2 linked regions of the Struthio camelus genome follow. Each later gene encodes a partner of the first gene's protein in a complex. Links are inferred from orthologs where the notes say so. Each region holds a gene or a part of one and is shown on either strand. Other genes may lie near its edges.

Evidence for each region. Proteins that work in one complex are often made in the same cells at the same time.
Region 2: the proteins of NCAPH2 (region 1) and NCAPG2 are in contact, whole or in part, in a cryo-EM structure (PDB 9F5W), measured with the Homo sapiens proteins. The link is inferred for Struthio camelus from reciprocal best matches to the Homo sapiens genes NCAPH2 and NCAPG2. Residues at the interface, in NP_689512.2 of Homo sapiens: Pro316, Trp317, Gln318, Ser319, Leu320, Pro322, Phe323, Asp324, Ser325, Leu326, Glu327, Ser328, Lys329, Pro330, Phe331, Lys332, Lys333, Gly334, Arg335, Pro336, Tyr337, Ser338, Val339, Glu344, Gln360, Asp361, Phe362, Gln364, Trp365, Tyr366; in NP_001268861.1 of Homo sapiens: Lys248, Leu251, Gln252, His292, Ile294, His295, Leu296, Pro297, Arg299, Ser300, Val302, Lys340, Ala341, Arg342, Asn343, Ser344, Glu345, Val346, Pro388, Tyr389, Pro390, Arg393, Gly425, Glu426, Ala428, Phe429, Asp430, Thr431, Ser432, Arg437.

Annotation. Positions count from the first base shown.
Region 1 is NC_090942.1:744,893-754,451, forward strand, and holds the start of NCAPH2 (condensin-2 complex subunit H2), read right to left. Parts: upstream 4,925-9,559; 5' UTR 4,797-4,924; intron 3,391-4,796; exon of another isoform or gene 3,137-3,390; intron 2,332-3,136; 5' UTR 2,320-2,331; coding exon 2,212-2,319; intron 1,677-2,211; coding exon 1,575-1,676; intron 1,091-1,574; coding exon 1,035-1,090; intron 1-1,034. Other genes in the region: LMF2 (lipase maturation factor 2), read left to right, coding at 4,999-5,095, 7,614-7,867. UniProt on the Homo sapiens protein: Regulatory subunit of the condensin-2 complex, a complex that seems to provide chromosomes with an additional level of organization and rigidity and in establishing mitotic chromosome architecture.
Region 2 is NC_090943.1:11,768,586-11,778,902, reverse strand, and holds the start of NCAPG2 (condensin-2 complex subunit G2), read left to right. Parts: upstream 1-5,853; 5' UTR 5,854-5,949; intron 5,950-6,210; 5' UTR 6,211-6,273; intron 6,274-6,934; exon of another isoform or gene 6,935-6,950; 5' UTR 6,951-6,980; coding exon 6,981-7,055; intron 7,056-10,317. UniProt on the Homo sapiens protein: Regulatory subunit of the condensin-2 complex, a complex which establishes mitotic chromosome architecture and is involved in physical rigidity of the chromatid axis.

The sequences.
Region 1 (9,559 bases):
ATTGTCTGAGACATTCAGAAACTTCTGTCGCAGCTTCGTCTCGCTCCAGCCCAAGCAGAGCCTCGTCCAAGTCTTGTGACCTTCCCCAACAAGCTATTGGCAAGATTTCTTGCAAGTGGAGTTTATGGCTGGGCAAAGGAGAGGAAGGATGGTTCATTCAGGAAGCTTGTTTGCATGGCTCGAGCCAAATACCTGTTGGAAGCCACGTGCATCACGAAAACTTTGTCTTTTCTGCACACTTCAGTGTGAGCGCAAACATAACTGCCAGTCTTAAACTGATCTCTCATTAATGGAGAGCCTGTTAAAAACATGGGCCAGGTTGGCAAGAGACAAGTTATATGAGAGAGTTTGAAAACAGTAGTTTGAACAGTAGCACCCCACTTCAGCAGCAAGTGGAAAACAAATCACAAGCTTCTTTGCCACAGTGGCGGATCTATTTCATACTGAGATTTACTATGTGGGATGCTGGGGCACTGTCCTTTCTTTACGTAACGACACAGCAACGCAACAACAAAACCACAAGATGATGCCACTGGTAACGCTCTGGGGGGTGAGAATCATCCCGAGCTAAAGCCCTGGACTGAAAATATATCCTACCAGGAGCCTTTCATGCTACCAAAAAGAGTCCTTCAGCTTCAAGGATCTTTTTATGGGGCTGGAAACCCCCGCTGTAGCAGGTTGGTTGGTTTGTTTTTTAAAGAGATGACTGCCCTGAGGGAGGAGCGCGCACTCATAGCAGAAGCGAGGCTCAGAGCTGGAGCAGAGTCAGGGACTCGGTTCCCACAGGTGGATGGGGGCAAGTCACAGCCTCACCAATAAAACAGCGAGCAGTCAGGGCAAGAGCCACCAAACATCAGCAGGAAAGACAGCAGGGGAAGGACAAAGGGGCCAAGAGCAGCAAAGGAGAAGCATGTCTTATTGTGCGCAACTAAAACAGTGAAGTCATGCTGGGAGATCACAGTCCTGACCCCTTAGCAAGGGATGTCTTTCCAAAAAAAAAAAAAAAAAAAAAAAAAAAGGAGATCTTTACTTACTTTTTGTTGGAAATGAAGTCAAGTGCCTGATAGACCAGAGAATAGAGATATTCCACCTACAAAATAAGGCCAAGACTTTTGGAGAAAGAAAAAGTAGTTCCTAGAAAGACTACTGCAACTGAGGCCACGAGGAACCACAGCCCTCTTCTCTCCACCCCAGATAACTAAAGTTCAATTACTTGATAATCCCATTATTCTCATTATTATTCAAGCCACTTTGAGTCTAGGTTTGGGGAAGCAGTTCTTTTTGTTTTCCACTCTCCAGAAAAAAAAAAAAAGTGCTCAACAGCAAAATTCTTGTCTTTTCCCAGACTTTTGTGGGCTGCCATTCCCCACACATATAGAAGGGGTGAATTTGGAAATTACAGATTTATACCCTTTCAGATCGGCGAGTCATTTTTATGTTTAATTTTTTCAAAATCAAGGGAAACTTCCCTTGCGAACAAGCTTCAGTCTCAGAAACACCAGCTGAGGGATCACTGAGTGGACAAAGTGGCAGAACTAAGACCAGGACATGGCAGTTACTGCCCGTTTTCTCACCTTCTTACTGTAGATGCAGGCAGAGCCCTGGATTAACAGAGCTGCTTCTATGAAATTCATGGTGGTTTTGCCGCCGTCAAAGGAAATACAGATTTGGTCCAACTGCAAAACACACAAAAGGAGGAAAGCAAAACGCTGATGTGCAGATTGGATTTGAGGACAGCACAGCAAGAGGAGAAAGTTAAGAGAGAAAAATCATAGCAAGATGCCTAACATAGTATTCGAGGGACTAGATGTAATAAGTAAATGCAGAGAGAGAGAATACGTTCTTCCGCTCCCAGTAGCCTGAGAAGAGCTTTTCTGTCAATAATCTCACTTCTCCAGCCAAGGCTGCGCTGTGGGGAGCATGGTCCCTAGTGCCACCACAAAAACAGGGGGAATTCAAAAGGGGTGGCTGCAAACGCTGTTAGATAACATCCTCGAACTTCAGCCCATCGCAAGCCTAGATCGGTGACAACACGGCTGCGCTGCCCTGCAGCCTGAGACGGGCGAGGGTTGCAGTGTCGGTGCCGCAGCCAAGGGACTGCCGGGACAGCGAAGGACGGAAACCCCAGCTGCGCAGGCCGTGCTGAGGGGCATCTCTACACAAAGCTCTCCTCCCACCACAGCACTGTGGTGAACAGAGAGCCTCCCTTACCTCCTCCAGGTACTCCCCCAGCTGAGCAGCCACATCCACCTCCCAGTTCTTGGTGAGATCGCGAATGGGCTGCAGGAGGTGCAGGAAGCGCGACTCCACATCCTCCATGGCGACCGATCCCTGGAAAGGCAGAGGTTACAGCTCACTCGGCAGACGGGCAGACCCACAGGATCACTGAATAACCTGTTTCTTGACGAATGCTGTTTGTAATCCCAGAGTTGAAGTTTGATGCGTCACCATTCACTTAGAGCCAAGCGCAGCTTCAGTCTTAGGGTAGTTAGCTATTGTAAGAACCTGGAGTCAACTGATATCTTTCAATTTCAATAGAAATAAATGTTGTAACTAAATATACCCCACAAAAACCAGACTAAAACCAGACTAGCACGTAAGTTTCCCAAGTGGGAAACAAATGTCTTCTATTATCTCATCAAACACCTGTAGGTAAATGAGAGCACAACATCAGCTAGAAAGCCAAACATAACTTTCAAGCCATTCTCGGACAAACATCAACAGTAAACACTACCATCCATACAGTTTGTCCGGAGCAGGAACCAGGAGGCATTGACTGAACTTACAGACTCCTTACACAGAACTACAGGAGATCCCTGCCCAGCTTCTGCCTGCTCAGATGTCCAAGTGTAACTTCACATGCAGGAAGAGCTGCACCAAAGTCAACAAAGTATTCACGGGAGTAATGATTTGTGCGCTAACGAACCACCTCCTGCAAACATTTACAGCCCAAACCTAGTAACTTGGGCTTACAACCCAAATCTAGTAATCCGCAACTAAGGGCGGACTCCAGCATCTCTCTGGGCTCTCCAGCAGGTCTTGCGTGGGGTGGTGCAGGTGAATCCAGAACTGCAGACTCTACGGCTGGGATCATTAGGAAACGCATTCATTTCAGAGGAACATCCCAGACACTTACTCCTATTTCCACAACAGCAGACAGAAATTGCACTCCCCCCAGCAAGACTATCAGCACTATACGGATGAAATCCACAGCAGCATAGGGAACGGGACCAGTAAACGTTTCGTCTTCTGTCCTTTTAAATCGCAGTTAGGCCAAAGAAACATAGCTATAAATATGAAAATAAAAAGCTCACGACACAGGGACAGGGGAGACGGTCTCTCACTTCGCAGGAGGTCACTGGCTGCTCCCCGATACAGCATCAAAGCCTCCTGAAGAAACACGCGCGTGTCACCCCAAGCTAGTCGGCACAACGCTGTGCCACGCTTATCACGCTCCATCAAAACTGGCTGCAGAGACGAACGCTCAACCCCCTGCTCCCCTCCAAACACCCGCTGCGCCCCGCTCCTGGGAACGCAAACCCAACACGCGTGAGAGCAACGATCGCGGCAGCGGCACCGCGCTAACACGCGGAGGGCTCTGCGCCGGCTGCCCCTCTGCGGACAACGTCCTGCTGCTCCAGGAACAGCCCGTACCGCCCCCCTCCTGCCAGGGGCCGAGGCCACCCTGGCGCTTCTGCCTGCGTTTTACGGGGGATAATCAGCTACGCGAAGTAGGAGGAAAGCACACGCTTTACTCCATCGAGGAAGGATTGCTGAGGAACTGTGCGAGCGTGGGCTCTCTCTGAGGACAGGAGCCCCACAACAGGCAGGAGACAGACATCAAACGCGCTTCGCAGCGCAGAAGCGCGGCCCAAGGGAGCAGAGCCCAGATTCCCACCTCTCTGGTCCGAGTCCCTGATGCGGTGACGACACCTTTTATTAGATGAAGTGACAGAGGTGAGGGGCAAGGGAGAGCCGGGCTGCCGGAGGCGCAAAGCAAGGCGGACGCCACCTGTTTACCTCTCCGCCTACCCTCCGCTTCACCAGTGGCTCCTACAGAAGTTATTCCCGCTCCCAGCGAGCCTCGCTTCTCCGCTCACACCGGGAAACGGCGGCTAAACTACGAACCCCGGCACCGCGCAGAAACCTGCCCCGTAGGCCGGCTCCGGACCGGGTCAGAAGAGGTCCACCGGGGCTCGCACCGGCCGGGCGCCCCGACCTGCGGCCCTTCCGACCGGCTCCTCCGGAGAACAGCTCTGCCGGAGGCAGCCGCCTGCGGCCCGCCGGGCCCCCCCGCCCCCGCCTGCGGCCCGCCGGGCCCCCCCGCCTGCGGCCCGGGCCCCCCCGCCTGCGGCCCGGGCCCCCCCCCCCGCCTGCGGCCCGCCGGGCCCCGAGGGCGTCCAGCGCGGCCCGGGCCCCCCCCCCGACTCGCGCTACGGGTGCTGCGGCGCCTCCCCCATCACTCCGACCCCGGCGGGGTGGAGGGGGTCCCGGGCGGTACCGCGCTCCCCCGGCGGGGGGGTCCCGGGCGGCACCGCGCTCCCCCGGGAGGGTGGGGGGTCCCGGGCGGTACCGCGCTCACCCGGCGGGGGGGTCCCGGGCGGTACCGCGCTCACCCGGCGGGGGGGTCCCGGGCGGCACCGCGCTCCCCCGGCGGGGGTGAGGGGTCCCGGGCGGTACCACGCTCACCTGGCGGGGGGGTCCCGGGCGGCACCGCGCTCCCCCGGCGGGGGTGAGGGGTCCCGGGCGGTACCACGCTCACCCGGCGGGGGGGTCCCGGGCGGTACCACGCTCACCTGGCGGGGGTGGGGGGTCCCGGGCGGCACCGCGCTCCCCCGGGGCAGTTCCCCTCAGCGGCGCTCGGCCCCGCTCCCGGCCGCCATTTCGTGCTTCCCGCCCGAAGTGACGCCGGCGGCGGGCGGGGCGGGGCGCGGTGACGTCGTGGCGGCGGCGGCAGGCGGGCGCGGACGTGTCGGTGCCGCCGCCGCCGCCGCCGCCATGGGGGAGCCGCCGCGCCGGCCCCGGCAGCTGTTCCTGGCCGGGCTGGCCGCCGTCTACCTCGCCGCCTTCGCCTCGCTCTACGTCCAGATCCCCGGTACGGCCGCGGGGCGCCGGCACCGCGCCCGCAGCGAAGGGGAGCGGGCGGCAGCGGGGACCGGGGGGGGCACCGGGGCCGGGGGGGGCCCAGTTGGCGGGGGGAAACCGGGGCCGGGGAGGGGGCTGGGGAGGGGTGCGACCGGGGGTGGGGGGGGAACCGGGGTCGGGGTGAGTGACGGGGCCCCGGTGCCGTGCGGGGGCGGGGGGACCGGCTGCGGCACCGGGGCTGCGGGGGGGGGGGTGACCCTCATCCGGGGCTGGGGGGGGGGGCACCCTCGGGGGCCGCCAGGCTGCGAGCAGAGAGGCCGGAGCAGCCGCTCCGTTACGCGGCCCCGGGAGCTCGGTGCCCGCGCGCGGCCTCGGCCCCGGGCAGCCCGCAAGGTGGAGCGGGGGCCGCGGCTGGGCACGCCTCCCGCCACCGTGGCCGCCGGCCGCCTCTCGAGCCGCTCCGCCGGGCTGCCGGCGGCCCGGGACTCGTCCGCCGCAGCCTGTGGTTTCCTGACGCCTCCGCTCCCGGCTGCGCGGAGAAGCAGGAACGTGCCTGGAAGAAATCGCTGCCGGCGTGGCTTTCCTGCCGGCGCGGGGCCAAGCGCCGTCCGGCTGCCTCCGCCGTCCCGGCCCTTGCTGCCGGGGGAGGGAGGCCGAGGCGCTGCCAGCCGGGGGGAAGGCTCCGGGGCCGCTGGGGAGGGAGGCAGCGCCGGAGCCGCGTCTCGGAAACGCCGGCGGGCCGAGCCGAGCGCGGGGCCGGAGGGCGCAGAGCCTGTGCCCGGCGCGGGGCCTGGGGAGCGGAGCCACCCGCAGGGCAGACCCCCGCGCGGGGCGGTCGGGGGGCTCGGGCTGGGGCGAGCGGGACGCCCCGGCCTGCCCGCGCCTTTTCGCGGCCACGTCCTCCTCGCGCCGCCTTCGAAGGGCGTTGCTGTAAGGTCGGAGGAAGGCCTGGAGAGCGGCGACGCGGGCAGGCGACGGCCAGGCAGCGCCCGCCGCCCGGGAGAGGGGTCGCCTCCGAGCTCGGGGCGCGGAGCGGTGCGGCCGGACTGGGGAGGGAGAGAGACCCCCCCCCCCGAGCCTGGGGAACCCTGCGGCCGGTGGTGGCCCCGCAGGGCCCTCGAGGAAGGGGACCGGGGGACTGTTTTGGGGGTGTTAGCGATGTTGAGGGAGTTACAGGCTCTCCTGTTGAACCAGTAAGGAGGGATGAGTTGGAGGTCGTGCCGGAGCCGCAGGCAGGAACGCGCCAAGACGCGAGCGGAGCTCGGGCTGGGGAGCGTGTCTGGGGCTTCTCACCCCAGGGGCGAGGAGAGCCGGGACGGTCGCTTGCCGGGGGATGCAGAGCGGCTGCGAGTGTCCCTCGGCCGCGCGCTGGCAGGGCTGGCCGGGGCGTCCTCGCTCCGCCAGAGCCCTTGCGCGGCCAGAGCGAGGAGGACTGGGGCTGAGCTGGGCCGGGGCCGCGACCTGCCTTTGCCGTGGGCCCCCGGATCCTGGGCGCCCTGCACCCATCCGGGTCCGGGGTGAGGCGATGCTGAGTGCACCGAGGATGCAGGGCCATCCCCTGCCGTCCCCGTGCCCGGCCTGGGTACAGGCCGGTGCCAGGCTTTGCCAAAACCCTGCCGTGGGGGCTGTGCCACCTGCTCCGGCAGCCTGGGCTTTCCCTCTGCCCCAGCCTTCGCTTCGCAGCCCAACTCAAGGCCTGTTTTCCTGCTTTCCTGCCAGTGGGTTTGGCCCGAGGCCAGGTGAGCGGCCACGTTCTCCCCTGCTGCGAGTACCGTGTCGAAGCAGCTTAGCTCCGGGCTGGGGGAGCGGGAGCTGCTGCTGTCAGCCCTCCCCCCTTCGGAGGGGGGTCGCGCCCTTCGTTCGCACGGTCCCGCAGAGCAGGAGGGCCTGACCGCCTTTTGGGAGAGGGCAGGGACTAGGGCAGCAGGACGGCCCTTCCTGGGGCCCCGCTGGGCTGCCCCGCTCCCGCGTGGGTCTCCGCCGCCCACCCAGCTCCCGGCTGGTCGGAGCTGCCGTGCGCTGCGCGCTCAGCGGGAGAGCCCTCCTCTCCCTCCCTGCTGGCAGCTCCTCTCCTGGCTCGCTGGCAGCTGCCGAGCTCCCCGTGGGCCTTTCCCGCTGCCGGTTCTTTCCCTTTCGGGGGGTTTGGCGCTTGCTCTGGGCTGCCTTTGCCCTGGGCAAAGGGCAACGTGCAGGAGCAGCAAGCCCTGCTTCCCTCCAGGACTGGAGATCGTCCTAGGGCAGGCGTGCTCCTGGAGGGGGGTCTCTGCGGGAGCCCCTGCCTGTTGATGTGGATGCACCGGGGTGCCCAGTTCTGCTGGGGCATGGGGGGTGTTAGGAGCCGGGAGCAGCATTGCTGGGGGCAGCCCGAGAGCTGCAGCCTGCACGAAGGGGCTGAGGCCCTAGGGACTGCGCGGTGTGTCCGAGAGAGTGCAAGAGGGACCATGTGGGGCTGGGGTGTCCTAGAGAGCATATGTGTCCTTGTGGGGAGCTGTGACCTTGCTGTGACAGTCCTTCCCTGCCCTCCCCAGGGCTGTACGGGAAAGATGGCATCCTGCCGGCTCGCAAGATGCTGCGTTTCACTGGGAAGGGGCTCTGGGAGCAGCTGCGTGACTTCCCCACCCTGCTGTGGCTCAGCCCGCGCCTGGGCCTGGACACGGAGCTGGGCATGGAGCTGCTCTGCCTCGTCGGCGTGCTGGCCTCCTTCGGCGCCCTGGTGTTCGAGCCCCTGCGGGACAGCCTCGTCTTCGCCCTGCTCAGGATGCTCTATCTCTCAGTCTACCAGGTATGGGCGCGGTGTGCCAAGGGGGGCTCACAGCACCCTGGGGGAGTCAAAGCTGGGACCCATCAGGGCAATGTGCTGGGGAAGGGGAAACTTTCTCACGTGAGCTCCTGACCACGTTCAGCTCTGCTTGCCCACGTGCTCTCCGAGCTGGGGGACGGTGCTGGCTGCTCCCCAGATCTCAGGATCTTGCAGGCAGATATGCTTCCATCTCAGCTCCCAGACCTTCCTTGGGGTAAAAAGCTCCCAGATCTGCCCAAGGGTCTGGAGCCAATTCCTACGACGCTGGGCCTTGGCAGGACGGCTCAGTCCTCTGGTTGTTCGTGGCCTTGCCGAGCGGTCCGTGAGCTTAGGCTGAGCAAGGCTGCTGCAGCACTTGGTCCCTTCCCCGCTCCTGTGGGGGGTTTCACAATCTCAGTGCCACAAGCCGCAAACCCTCCCTCTTGCGAGCCGTTTGCATTCACTGCCAGGGCCTGGCAGCTCTCTGCTGAGGAGCTTGGGTGAGTCAGAGAGGCAGAAGGCTGCACGCACAGGCTGCTGGAGGAGGAGGGTTTCTCTTCCTTCTGAAACCAGGGGAAATAAAGAGAAAACCAGCTGTGCTTGGAAATCCCTCCTGGGCCAGATGTCTGCATTAACCCCAGGAGTGCTGCACAGCAGGAGCTCTCCCAAGGTCCTGCTTGGCAGCCTGGTTGGAAAGCAGCCCAGGACGTTGGCTGCAGCTCTTGGCAGTCTCCTGCTTGCTGGGGCTCGGGAACGATCCCTTTCATGGCAGCGACAGCTGCAGGGAAAGGGATTGGGAAGCCTGGGAAGCAAAGTGGCTGGTCCAAGGGAGATGGGTTTCTCCTGTGGTCGGGGGCTTTCCTGGAGAGAGCTGGCACTGCCACTGCAGTGCTGTTGCTGTCCCCTGCCCTGTCGCCTCCGTCTCACTCACAAGCCTCCCTGGCACGGGGCAGCCGTGCCCCACAGAGCTGCTGTGAGCGGTTTTCTGTGCTCCCCTCGTGCAGGCGGCCCCATGGCCCCGCCAGCCTGGCCCTTGTGTCAGGCCCGAGGAGGGACGGGGTGGGGGGAGCCTGGGCTCTGGCGATGACTCACTGCCGTCCCCAGCTACAGCAGGGAGAGGAAGCGGTGGTTGCCCAGAGCCAGGAAGCCCTGGGTAATGGGCGGCCCCGTGGGCCCCCGTCTGCAGGGGCTCTGTCTCCCCAGTGCCGCTCTGTCGGAGCGGGGAGTCCTGCCGGCATGACCAGGGCCGTGCTGAGGGTGCTGTGCTGCTCTGGGAGTGTGGCGTGCTCCCAGCACGGCCTCCTGCCGGCCCCAGGCGTGCCAGGCCCTCACCATTCCCTTTTAAGGTGATGCTGGAGAAGAAAGTCCCTTTTCCTTTCCAGAGCTCCAAGCCTCCCTCCCCTCTGAGAGGCCCTGACCCGTGCCTGCAGCGCTCTGCACTGGTGTGAGCGGGGTTTGCAGCCTGGTTTGCTGTCGAGTGCTGCTCTGCCAGTGCTTCCCTCTAGGCCTGGCTGAAGCATCGGCGGGCAGGAGGTGCAGAGCCCTGGGGCTGCAAGCACCCGTGCAGCAAGTCAGGGTGGAGCAGGGCTCCTCTGCAGCCCCCCCGGTCCTGACCTGCAGCCTGGGGCTCCCCGGACAGGTCTCCATCCTTCCCCCTTCCCCGCCTCCTTTCTGCTTGCCAGGAGATTGCCTTGA
Region 2 (10,317 bases), on another chromosome or scaffold:
TGTTCTAAGACAGCTTTCACTGTATTTAATGTCCTTTTTCTAGTTATTATTGCTTACAAAGCATTTTAGTTTTACTTCTTGTCTTTCACAGACAGAGTGAAAAAAATCACTCTGTGATTTTATCTGTGAAATCAGACTTTTTTGGATTTATAGAAGTTTTTGAATTTATGCTTATTAGTGCACAATTTTCCTTTTCTGAAGACATCCTTATTTTCCACTAGATGGTGGTGTAGACCCTTATGTCAAAAATCTTTTTTGCTTTCTGTTCACTTTGTTTCTTGTACAGTAACAAAGTGGTCTGGATCCTCAGCACTTTTGGGAGTGGAGCATGAACTAATCCTAGCTTAAAAGCAGTGAACAACTGGCAGTCTCCTCATTGCACCCCACTCTCCTCCTCTGCTCAGTGCACAGCTGATACTAACAACACTGAGTTTTGTAATGAGGTTAATAATAATACCCTAGTCAGTTTGCCAAAATATTTTTATGAAACATATAGTCGTGATGCCCTAGGAAATAAAACAACTGGTACATGTAATTCTGCGATCTGAAACTTCTGGAAGATCAAATTTTGAGTTCACAACAAATTTAGTATGCATCTGTCAGCAATTCTCTTAGGTGTTTCATGCCTTAGGTATTTGGCCTATAAAATTAAGAGTTGATTATAATAGAACTCTGTAGAGGAGGTAGCACAACTTCAGTAAGATGTCGTGCAAAAACTTGAAACCAGTCAGAGGCAGGCAGAAGTCAAATTACAGATCTTAGTAGTTTTAAGACATGAGTGAGGACGTCAGTCTTCACTGATATATTTGAAACACAACCACGCTGTAAGTATTTATTTCCACTATTGGTAGAGTAGTTCAAGAATGAGGCTAGAAACTCAGGGTATCTAACAATAATGAAATCCATCTGGGAGCAATACAGTAAACACATGGGAAAAAAGATTTTTAAAGGGAAAGACAACACTTCTTCTACTAGAAGAAATACCTTACAAAACAGTCTTTTTTTTAAGCACATGATCAGAAAATATTTGCCAAGCCACATTGTCACAAGGTTCTTGTGATACTAAAACTGTTTGTTCTATAGAACAGGAATAAGTGACAGGTGTATCTAAACTAGGAAACTTGGAACACTTTCAAGTGCCTGACTCCAGATGCACTCTTGCTATATCCCACCTGAGACACCTGAGCAAGTATTACCCTCCCTCAGGTCCCTGTTTGCTAGCTTATGCACAAAGCAAACCAGGCATGAAGCCTCTAGGAAGAGCATGGTACGCTTCTGCTAAGTTCCTGATCTGGATTAGGAACGTGGGGAAGGCCAGTCTCCCAGCCTTGACAAGATCTACATTAACATAAGGGAGAAATAAATGTTGGTGCCTTAACCAACCAATGTAAAATAGTTTTATAACTATATATACATGTATATACACACAGATGTATGCACACACATATATTCATATATATTTATATAAGAGAAACTATTTTCATATATATGTGTGTGTATTTATGTGTGTGTGTGCACGTGTAAATTTATATAGAGAGAAGCAAATCACATCCATTCTGACATTTGTACAATGTATTCATGTTTTATACTAGATAGATGGAACAGTGATCATCTCCTATTTGATGGATGTCTACCACAATGAAGCCTTTAAGAGTGCTTTTAAAATTAATAGCAGTATTTATATACTTTACAAATGATTCTTCTCTTTATCCATAAAGCCTAAAATAGAACAAGGGTTGAAAGGAGACAAAACGCTTCCATGAGCTGTTTATCTCTAATGATTCATACTGTTAAAATCAATAGGATTAAATTAATTTAGACAGAGCAGATGTGAATGTAGCCTTTTGAATGTGAAAAAATAGACAAACTAGTATTATAAATTAACTCAGTGATACATGATATTCTGAAAGATGCTCGTGATTTTATACTAGAAAATGTTCATTGTAGTTATAATGAAAAAAGTGATACTCCTTGTTTGAAATATTCAATTTTTTTTTTTTATACACAGGTTTGCCTGTATTATATTTACAGTAGAATGAATTTAGCCGTGAAAGTGTTATGTAAGGATAATTTATTTTTGTTGGCATTTTACAGCATTTCAGAAGTCTCCTTTTCATTTGCATGGCACTAATCGTTAGCAGAGTAAAATTACTGTGATTTGTAACACCACCTACAAGGAAAGAAGTGTAAAAGTAAGAGCATGAACAAAGTTGGACTGAAATTCAACCTGGCGGGAAAAGCCCGTAAGACACCCAGCAGTACCAGCTAATTCCCACAGGGTGGCAGTTCAGTACTTCAGCAGCATCTAGAGTTACTCAAGGGAGCAGCTAGTCAGAAAAGCTTTTGCATTGCCTGTGAGCGTTTTATTTCCTTATATTTTTGTCGGAGTTAACAAGGACTTTTTTTTTCCTTCTGTAGTAAATGTTTTTTTTTTTCCCCCCACTTAATCTCTTAAACTCTAAAATCGTTTCCTGTTAATATTAATAATTTAAAGGAAGTAAGCAGTTTCAAGGTCTAATCACGCCACCATCGAAAACTGTCAGTTGCCTTTGAATAAAGGATGGCATGATTGACAGTATTACCTTCAGGCAAGGGGAGATCTGGAGAAGTAGAATAGCGGCAAACTTCATCTCTCTCCCATGCTGTTCAGATTATTTATCAAAGTATATGAAGATGAAAAAAAATCAAGGGAAATGAATGCATGTAAATTATTAACAGCCTGCCTCAGAGGATGAGCAGATTTTGTGGCTACCGTATTAACTATAACAAATTATATTATATATTCAAAAGAAAGGAAATGGGAGTAGCAATTCTAAAAGGTTAGCATATAACACATACAATGATCTCCTCAGAAACTATTATCTAGAAAATAACACTGTAAATAGGAAATAAAAATAACATAAATGTCAAGAAAGCACCTTGACACTCAGGGAGTAACTTGTTTATTTTTACAAGGATTTATAATGTTGAATCATACAGGTTAAAATAGAATATTTGATATAGTCCGAACTACGAGATTCTTGTGAAATCCATTTGTAATTGAGATCTGTTATACAGGCCACTGACAAGAAAAAAGAGTAGTTTATGATGAAGCAGTAGTACAAAAGCAAATCTTTATTTGCTGTTGCTCAGCAACCACGTGCGGAGGGCCCATTTTTCATTTTCACTTTAACTTGACTTGACAGGAAAATCATAATAAATACGAGATTATTATCAAAGGATATAGATTATTTTGAACAGATGAACAGACATGTCAAAAAGAGGCATGTAATTTAGTAGCTCTTGAAAGGCAGAAGATTAGGGAAACTGAAAATAGGGTTGTAGCTTCATTACTGGCTTACGGTTCATACACAATTCTTCCAGCCCTCCTCCCCAACCCCGAAAGACCCTACCAAACTCTATTCTGCATCTCTGGTTTCTCTACATGGTTCTTTAAAATGAATCTTTCAGTGTTACTCAGCCTGCTGTTATTTGTGTCAACTTTTAGTTTCCATAACATGAAAGAATCATTCCGTGGTTGCTATGCAACACAAGTCATAAGCTAAAATATGTTTTAGTTTGTTTGCTAAATGGATGTGTGCCCGACTAAATAAACAGTAACCAGGTGACTAATGTAGCATCTAATTAAAGGACTAATCAAGGTATTAATGAAAAATTCAGTCCACACGAGATAAGATAATCAAATCCATCAGTTCAGTTCTAAAATGCCAAAGATTTGTAATATATGCAAAAAGGATAGACATTAGCACAACAAATGTCCGTTTTCATACTTTTTATTTACTTTTACTACCGTACAAGCATGATGATTGCTCCTACAATGCATTTCAAGCAAACTGTTTCATGGCCTTCTTGCCCTTAGCTGACTACATAACTTAAACAAAAAAAAAGCAGGTCCATCAGATCTGAAATAACCCTGATCCTTCTTCCTTCTTTCCGCTGGAGCAGCAAAAGGCTCCTTTTGTGGGGGTGGGGGGCTGCTTCTGGAAGGCGATGCCTGCTGGCTGTCTCTGCCTAGGGCTGTAGGACAGATCCTATTTCAGGTGATCGTCCCAGAATCTCTCTCCTGGGACCCTTCTCTGTGGTTGCCAGTAGGTAGATGCTGGCAGAGATGCTGGTAGATGCTGTGGAGAGAGATATGTTTATTTAGATGTGGGAGAAGAGAAGGGGTAGCACTGAATTGTCAGCATGGGGAAGAGACGTTATGATGCTCAAGAGTAGTCTCCTGGCTGCTAATTCCTTCTGCCATATTGTCCCTTCCTTGAGTAGATGACCAACTTAATTAAAAATTGCAAATAGTACAACCCATTCTCCAATTGATGCTTACAGTAATTTTTATCTGGCAAATAATTGCTTTATCTGGCAAAGAAGCTTTCTTCTAAAACCCAATGACTGCAGAAGTTTCACATACATTCTGCTAATGATTTAGGAATTTAAACAGCTTTTATCTTTGTTTTCAGTAACATTAGTCATCTGTTACAAACATTTTTGAAGCAATATAGAAGAGCATTAATTATACAGGATAAGCACCAAATAGATTTTATTTTTCATCTTGTAGTTTTGAAACTATGTAAAAAAAACAGTTAAAGAGCTTACTCAGAAAACGTCAAAAATTAAAACAGGAAGTCTTTCAGTCAAACATATATGGGAGAAAACGTTACTGTTGCAGTTTTGAGACATAGCAAGATTAAAGTGGATTGTACATAAAAAAGAAAAAACATTACCAAAAAACATAACTATTTCTTCAAAAAATAGTGATTTTGTACATATAATATTCTTAATTAAATGAAATCTGAATCTGATTTTGCTTTTTAAAATTACACTCTGGAAAAGTTCAGTCAGATGTGAGAACTCTTCTAGAAAGCGTTGATTCTATTTTTTGTTTGGAAAGCAAAGCAGCATATGCAGTACTACAGTCATACACTCAAAGTAAACAATTCCAGTCAAGCATCTAATTCTTCAGAACAGCTAAGAATGCTGGGAAATATTGAAAAATATAATGCTACTGGGAATGTAAAACTGAAAGATATAAATTAAGCCCTTAACGAGACAAAGTGACTATTTCCAGTTTGTAGAGGAGCTCCGACAGGACAGCGAACACAAGAGAATTGAAAGCTGTTCATGCTTAATTCAAGGAGCTGAGTCCAAACACTTCTGCCCACTGCAAAGTAAATTTGAAAAGAAACAAAAAGCACCTATTTCCAGATAGATTTTAAAAAGTAAAGCATTGTCAAACTGTTAATATCTTCCGGCCCGCATACTTCCCCATACCTTCTGCTGGGTAACCTGCTTAGCTTTTTGCTGCTTTGGATGACAAGTACATAAGGCCTGTAGTAGTGTTCACTGTGACCGAGATTGAAAGCGTAGCTGTCAACACTAGCCGTTAAGAACATTTTCTGAGAAAAAGCCAATGTAATCAACTGGATGCTGAGTGCTTTCTGAGTAAATAGCACATGTTTTGGTAAGAATACTGTGTCACTGCCACCCCAGATCCATGGAAGAAGGCATGCTGTTTCTTCAGCATATAAATGAATTTAATTAAACGTGTCTTATCCCATTTTGAAGGGGTTGTGAGTTATGAGATGGCTGCAGGAAGACAACCGTAGGCTCGTACGTAGATCTACACCTCGCCAGCTTCTTCGCAGTAACCGATCCGTCGCCTCTTCAGTGAAGGAGGGGGAGGGCAACTAACTAACGGCTGCGCCGGCGCGCGGAGAGGGGCGGGGCCGCAGCCACGCCCTTCCCGCCGCGGCGCCGGGGCCCCGCCCCGCCCCGCCCCGCCCACGGCCGGCGCGCGCCAGCGCCCCCGCCCGCTCGCAGTGGGGTTGCGAGGGAGGGGCGGTGGGTGAGCTCTCGCGAGACGGGAGCGGCGCGCGCCCGCCTGCGCCCAACGGTTGCCGCGGGAGAGTTCGAAACCGCCGGGAGAGCGCGCGGCGGCGGCGGCGTGTCTGTGTGAGTGCGAGCCCTGGGCGGGCGGGCGGGCAGGGCGCCGAGGCCGGGGCAGGAGGGCTGAGCGAGGTGCCATTCCGTCTCTGAGCACCCCCCGGGGCTGGTGCCTCGTCCGGCTCTGGGGAGAGGCGCGTTAGTGGCGCGGCGGTTGCACGGACACCATTTTCTTGGGCAGTGCTGCTGGGATACTCGGGCTTGCGCTCCTTTGCTTCACTGCATTTAAATAGTGAGGTCGCCTTTTTTGTTTTTCTCCTGTGTGAACAGCCAGAGGTTTTTGGAAGCTTTACCTATGGATCCATGAGGATTTTTTTTCTGTGATAGTGCCAGGTAAGCCGCCCTGGCAACTTGCCACTTACTTCCTCTCCTGTTCGGGGTCGTACAGCGGTCTGTGGGGCCATGCAGTGCGCCTGGCAAAACGTAAATTACTAGTTAATTTGGATCAGTTCCTCATCATCCAGATCATGGCTTCACAGACGGGCACGTTTGAGAGAAAGCAGCAGAGGCTGTGTAAGGTCGTCTTACAGCTGATAGGGGTAGGAAAAGCTTCTCAGGAATCACTTCGGATGGAAAGTTGCATGTGAGTTAAGCTCTTAGTGTTAACAAGTGATCTTGCCGGTTTCCCATGGCCTTTTCTTGACAAGGCAGAGAAGGAGGGAACCTTTCCAATAAGTAAATGCTGCTGCCTGGACTGATGGATAGCTAAATAGGGGATGTGTGCTAGAAAAGTTATTCTTGTTAAAAGTGAAAGCATCAGTTAAAAAATTTACTTTTAAGACTCTCCTATTTAATAAATAAAGGTATTAAAAACACTACTTACAAATACTAGGGTCTTGTGCAGTTATGAATCTAAACCCTATAAATCAGTTTAAGGGGAGGAAGAGTGTCTTATAATGACTTGGATGAAAAATGTGAGTTTTTAATACTTTTTAAATACATTTTCATTGGGTCCAAGAAAGATCTTATTGTGAGATGCAATACTCTTCTCTAGTGTTTTTTTCTTTTAGGTTTATAACGCAAGGAAAAGAAGGACCATAATGAAGCGTGAAGCATTTTTACAAGTTGTGTCTAAGGACTCAATTGAAGAATTCTTGCGTTTTACTCAGATTCCTGTAAGTAAACCACGATACACGTTCATGACTAAGTCTATTAAGAGTGCACAAACTTTTTGTTTCAGAGGGGCAACAAAATTTTTCTCCGATACTTTTGTATGTGCTAGAATAATGGCAGGTAGGCAGATATAGTATCACTGTTGCAAAAAATGGCACTTAATGGAGCATAGTTGAAAAAGTTGAGGAATTTGAAATTTTTCCTGTGTTGTAAAACAGCCTGTTTTTTAATACTTGGTTGTTGTATATAGCTTGCAGTTTTAAAATAATGATTACTGCAACAATAATACTAGAAAATATTCATCTGATACTGATAAAGTTTTTTTTTTTTAAATGTTGACCTGTAAAAGAGTAAATTTGTTGCTGTATAATCAATGCGAGCTAATATACAGGCATAGCAAAGGTATGTTTCATTAGCATTTGTTCATCGGTTTGATAGTTTAGGCTCTCTACTTCTTTTTTTGTTAATATACAATTGTATTTAATAGTTCTTTCTATCACTAAATGTTCTAGAGATGTGATAAAGAGTCATAGATTGCTGCCTCTAAATGTAGTATGGAGAGAAGTAGGGGGAGGAACAAAACGAATCCAGTGAAATCTACTAATTAAAAGTTCATTCTCCTTTTGTGCATGCAATATCAAAAATAACAATTTGCATTGTGGTATTTTCCACTAAGTTTTAATCTGGTATTAAGACATGCTAGTTCTCCTGAACATCTCTTGCTAACCTTAATAGATGATATTGTCATGTTTGTTTCTTAAGTTTTCTCTCTAGCAGCCTCTCTGTTCTATTATATAAAGTACAATATTGTGAAGAGAGGATCTTGAAGCTTTTTCTACTTTACTGTCTGTATATATTGAAAGCTAAAGATATACATGTTTATTTTTAAGACTTAGTTTTAATTCTACAACTTAAAAGGCTTTGTCAGATATCTCTGCTTTTTTACGCTAACTTTTTCTAATGCTGCTTCACTTCTCATTGTTTTGCCAACATCCCTATCTACCTACCTTTTATCATCCTCTTTTAGATACTAATAAAATAACACATAGATCTTTATTAATAAAGTCTTTTATTCAGTCTCAACTAGTATTTGTTTTTGTCTTTTCCTGATCTAACCAGTATTTTCCTTATGTTCCCTTTGTCGGGATAAAGTAAGTGGTACAGCTGTACTCTGTCCATCAGGCCACCAATTAATTTACTAATGTAGTATAGATATGAAACCTATCATGTTAATTTACTAATGTAGTATAGATATGAAACCTATCATGTCTAGAGAAGATATCATGCACCGCGTAATAAGCTTAGAATTGTTTGTCTCCTAAACCTCATTTAGAGTCTCTTTGTCTAAGTATTTTGTGAGCTTTTCAGTTGCGCTCCTGTGTGTAACTCTAGATGACAACTTTATTAGCAGATTGCCGTTGTTTGAAATCTCCTCCTTGCCATTATTTTCCCACTTCTCCCCAAATCACTTTGAAAATAAATTATCCTGTTTAGGATAACTTAGGATACTTCCTAAGCTTCCTTGCTGATGGTCATGTTGTTTCTGCCTTCTCCGTTCACTAACCTATCTTGACATACCTCTTGGTCTGTTCAGATTAAAAATTGCTTTTCCATCCCTATACCTTGAAGAACAATATGGTGTGTGTATCACTATTTTTCATCGCCAGTTCACAAGAGTTGTCTTGCAACTGTATACAGCTATCTTTATTGCTTGTGAAACTGAATCACTGCCAAAAGAGAGCCCTTTAGTGTTTTTAGAAATAAAATGATTGATTTGTCTATTTTGCCACAGATTATTAGCCTGTATCCTTTTTGTTTCTAGGTTACCCCTTGCCAGTATTTCTGGAAACTGATTATCACCAACTGTAAAGAATGTACTGATTAAAACTGCCTTCACTCCTTCATGTTATAAGAGCACAGGACTATCCAGATAATTTTTTCATTGTCTAACAGACCTGAGTTATTTTATTCATTTCCTCTCCATACTTTCAATGGAGAAGAATATCTGACCATGTCTCATCTTAGGAGTGAACACATTCCTAAAATAATTCTTAACTTCATTTCTGGAGGAGGCTGTGGTGGTATATTCTGTTCTTTAGAAGCTGATGTGTAGGTATGGAAAGGAGAAAGGCTGATTAGAGCCTCTCTGCTTTCCATGCTTTTCATATTGTATTTGTGCAGGTGGAACTAGGGTTCTACCTATTTTGTGCTCTAGCTTCAGAATTTGCCTTTCTTCGTTAAAATAAAGTTTTCTTTTTGGCATTGCATATCTCTCTCATTCTTCCCTTTCTTTTAATCTTCTTTTTCCTTCCTCTCATTGTTTTGTTTGATTCAAATCTTCTAAAATTCTAGGGATTTGCTACTTTCCTTTTGTTTGCTTTAGGCTTTGCTGTTTTCTTCTTTTTGGTTTTAAAAGGTTGCTATTATATATTATGGTACTACTTCTCAAAATCTTTATGAAATGCTATTAAATTTTCTTCTAAATTCTCTTCCAATCCAAGAAAATACAATCTCTCTTAGCCATATATGTGATTTGTATTTTCTTTTCTATCATTCAGTGGCATCCTTTTCCCTAATAGGTTTTAGAATAATTCTACCTCGGCTCATCCCAAGGAAAGATCAAAAAGCTCTAGTGTTATTATGAATACGTTCTTTTTGTTCAAAACAGTGCAATCTTAATATCCTATCTTTTGGGTATGTTTGAAGCAGAGGCCTGCAGAACAGCCTGTGCAGCCTTCGGTTTATTGTATTTGTTTCCAGCTGTACAGTGAAATAGGCATTCTGCTATAAATGTGTAACAGGATCTTTCTTCTCTTAGCCTTTTGGGAACCTTCTAATTCTAACTGCTACTTCTTTCATTATTTTCTGTTTTTCTTTTTCCCTTCAACTTTTTTTATTTTTGATTCTTTTTTTAATTACGTTTGCAGACTAAAATATTTTTATTTCAAGATCATTGACCTTCTCCCTCTTTCCTACGAAATATTTCTAATCCTATAGACCTTGACTTCACTATTGCAAATTGCATCTCAAAAATTATCAGTACCTCTTGACTTTGTCTGTTTTTTCTTTTACTCTATTTTTTCCTCTGCCTTGTTCGCTGAATGTTCCCTTTCCTAGCAGGTTATTCTTCTTTGACGCTGACAGGCTGTCCGCATCTCTGAGTTGCATTCTTCTAGCAAGGTTCTTCGGAGGAAATAGTTCAGACTGGTCTCTTGGTGAAATGGATATTCTACATAAACCAAGGCAGTTCCTTTATGTAATTAA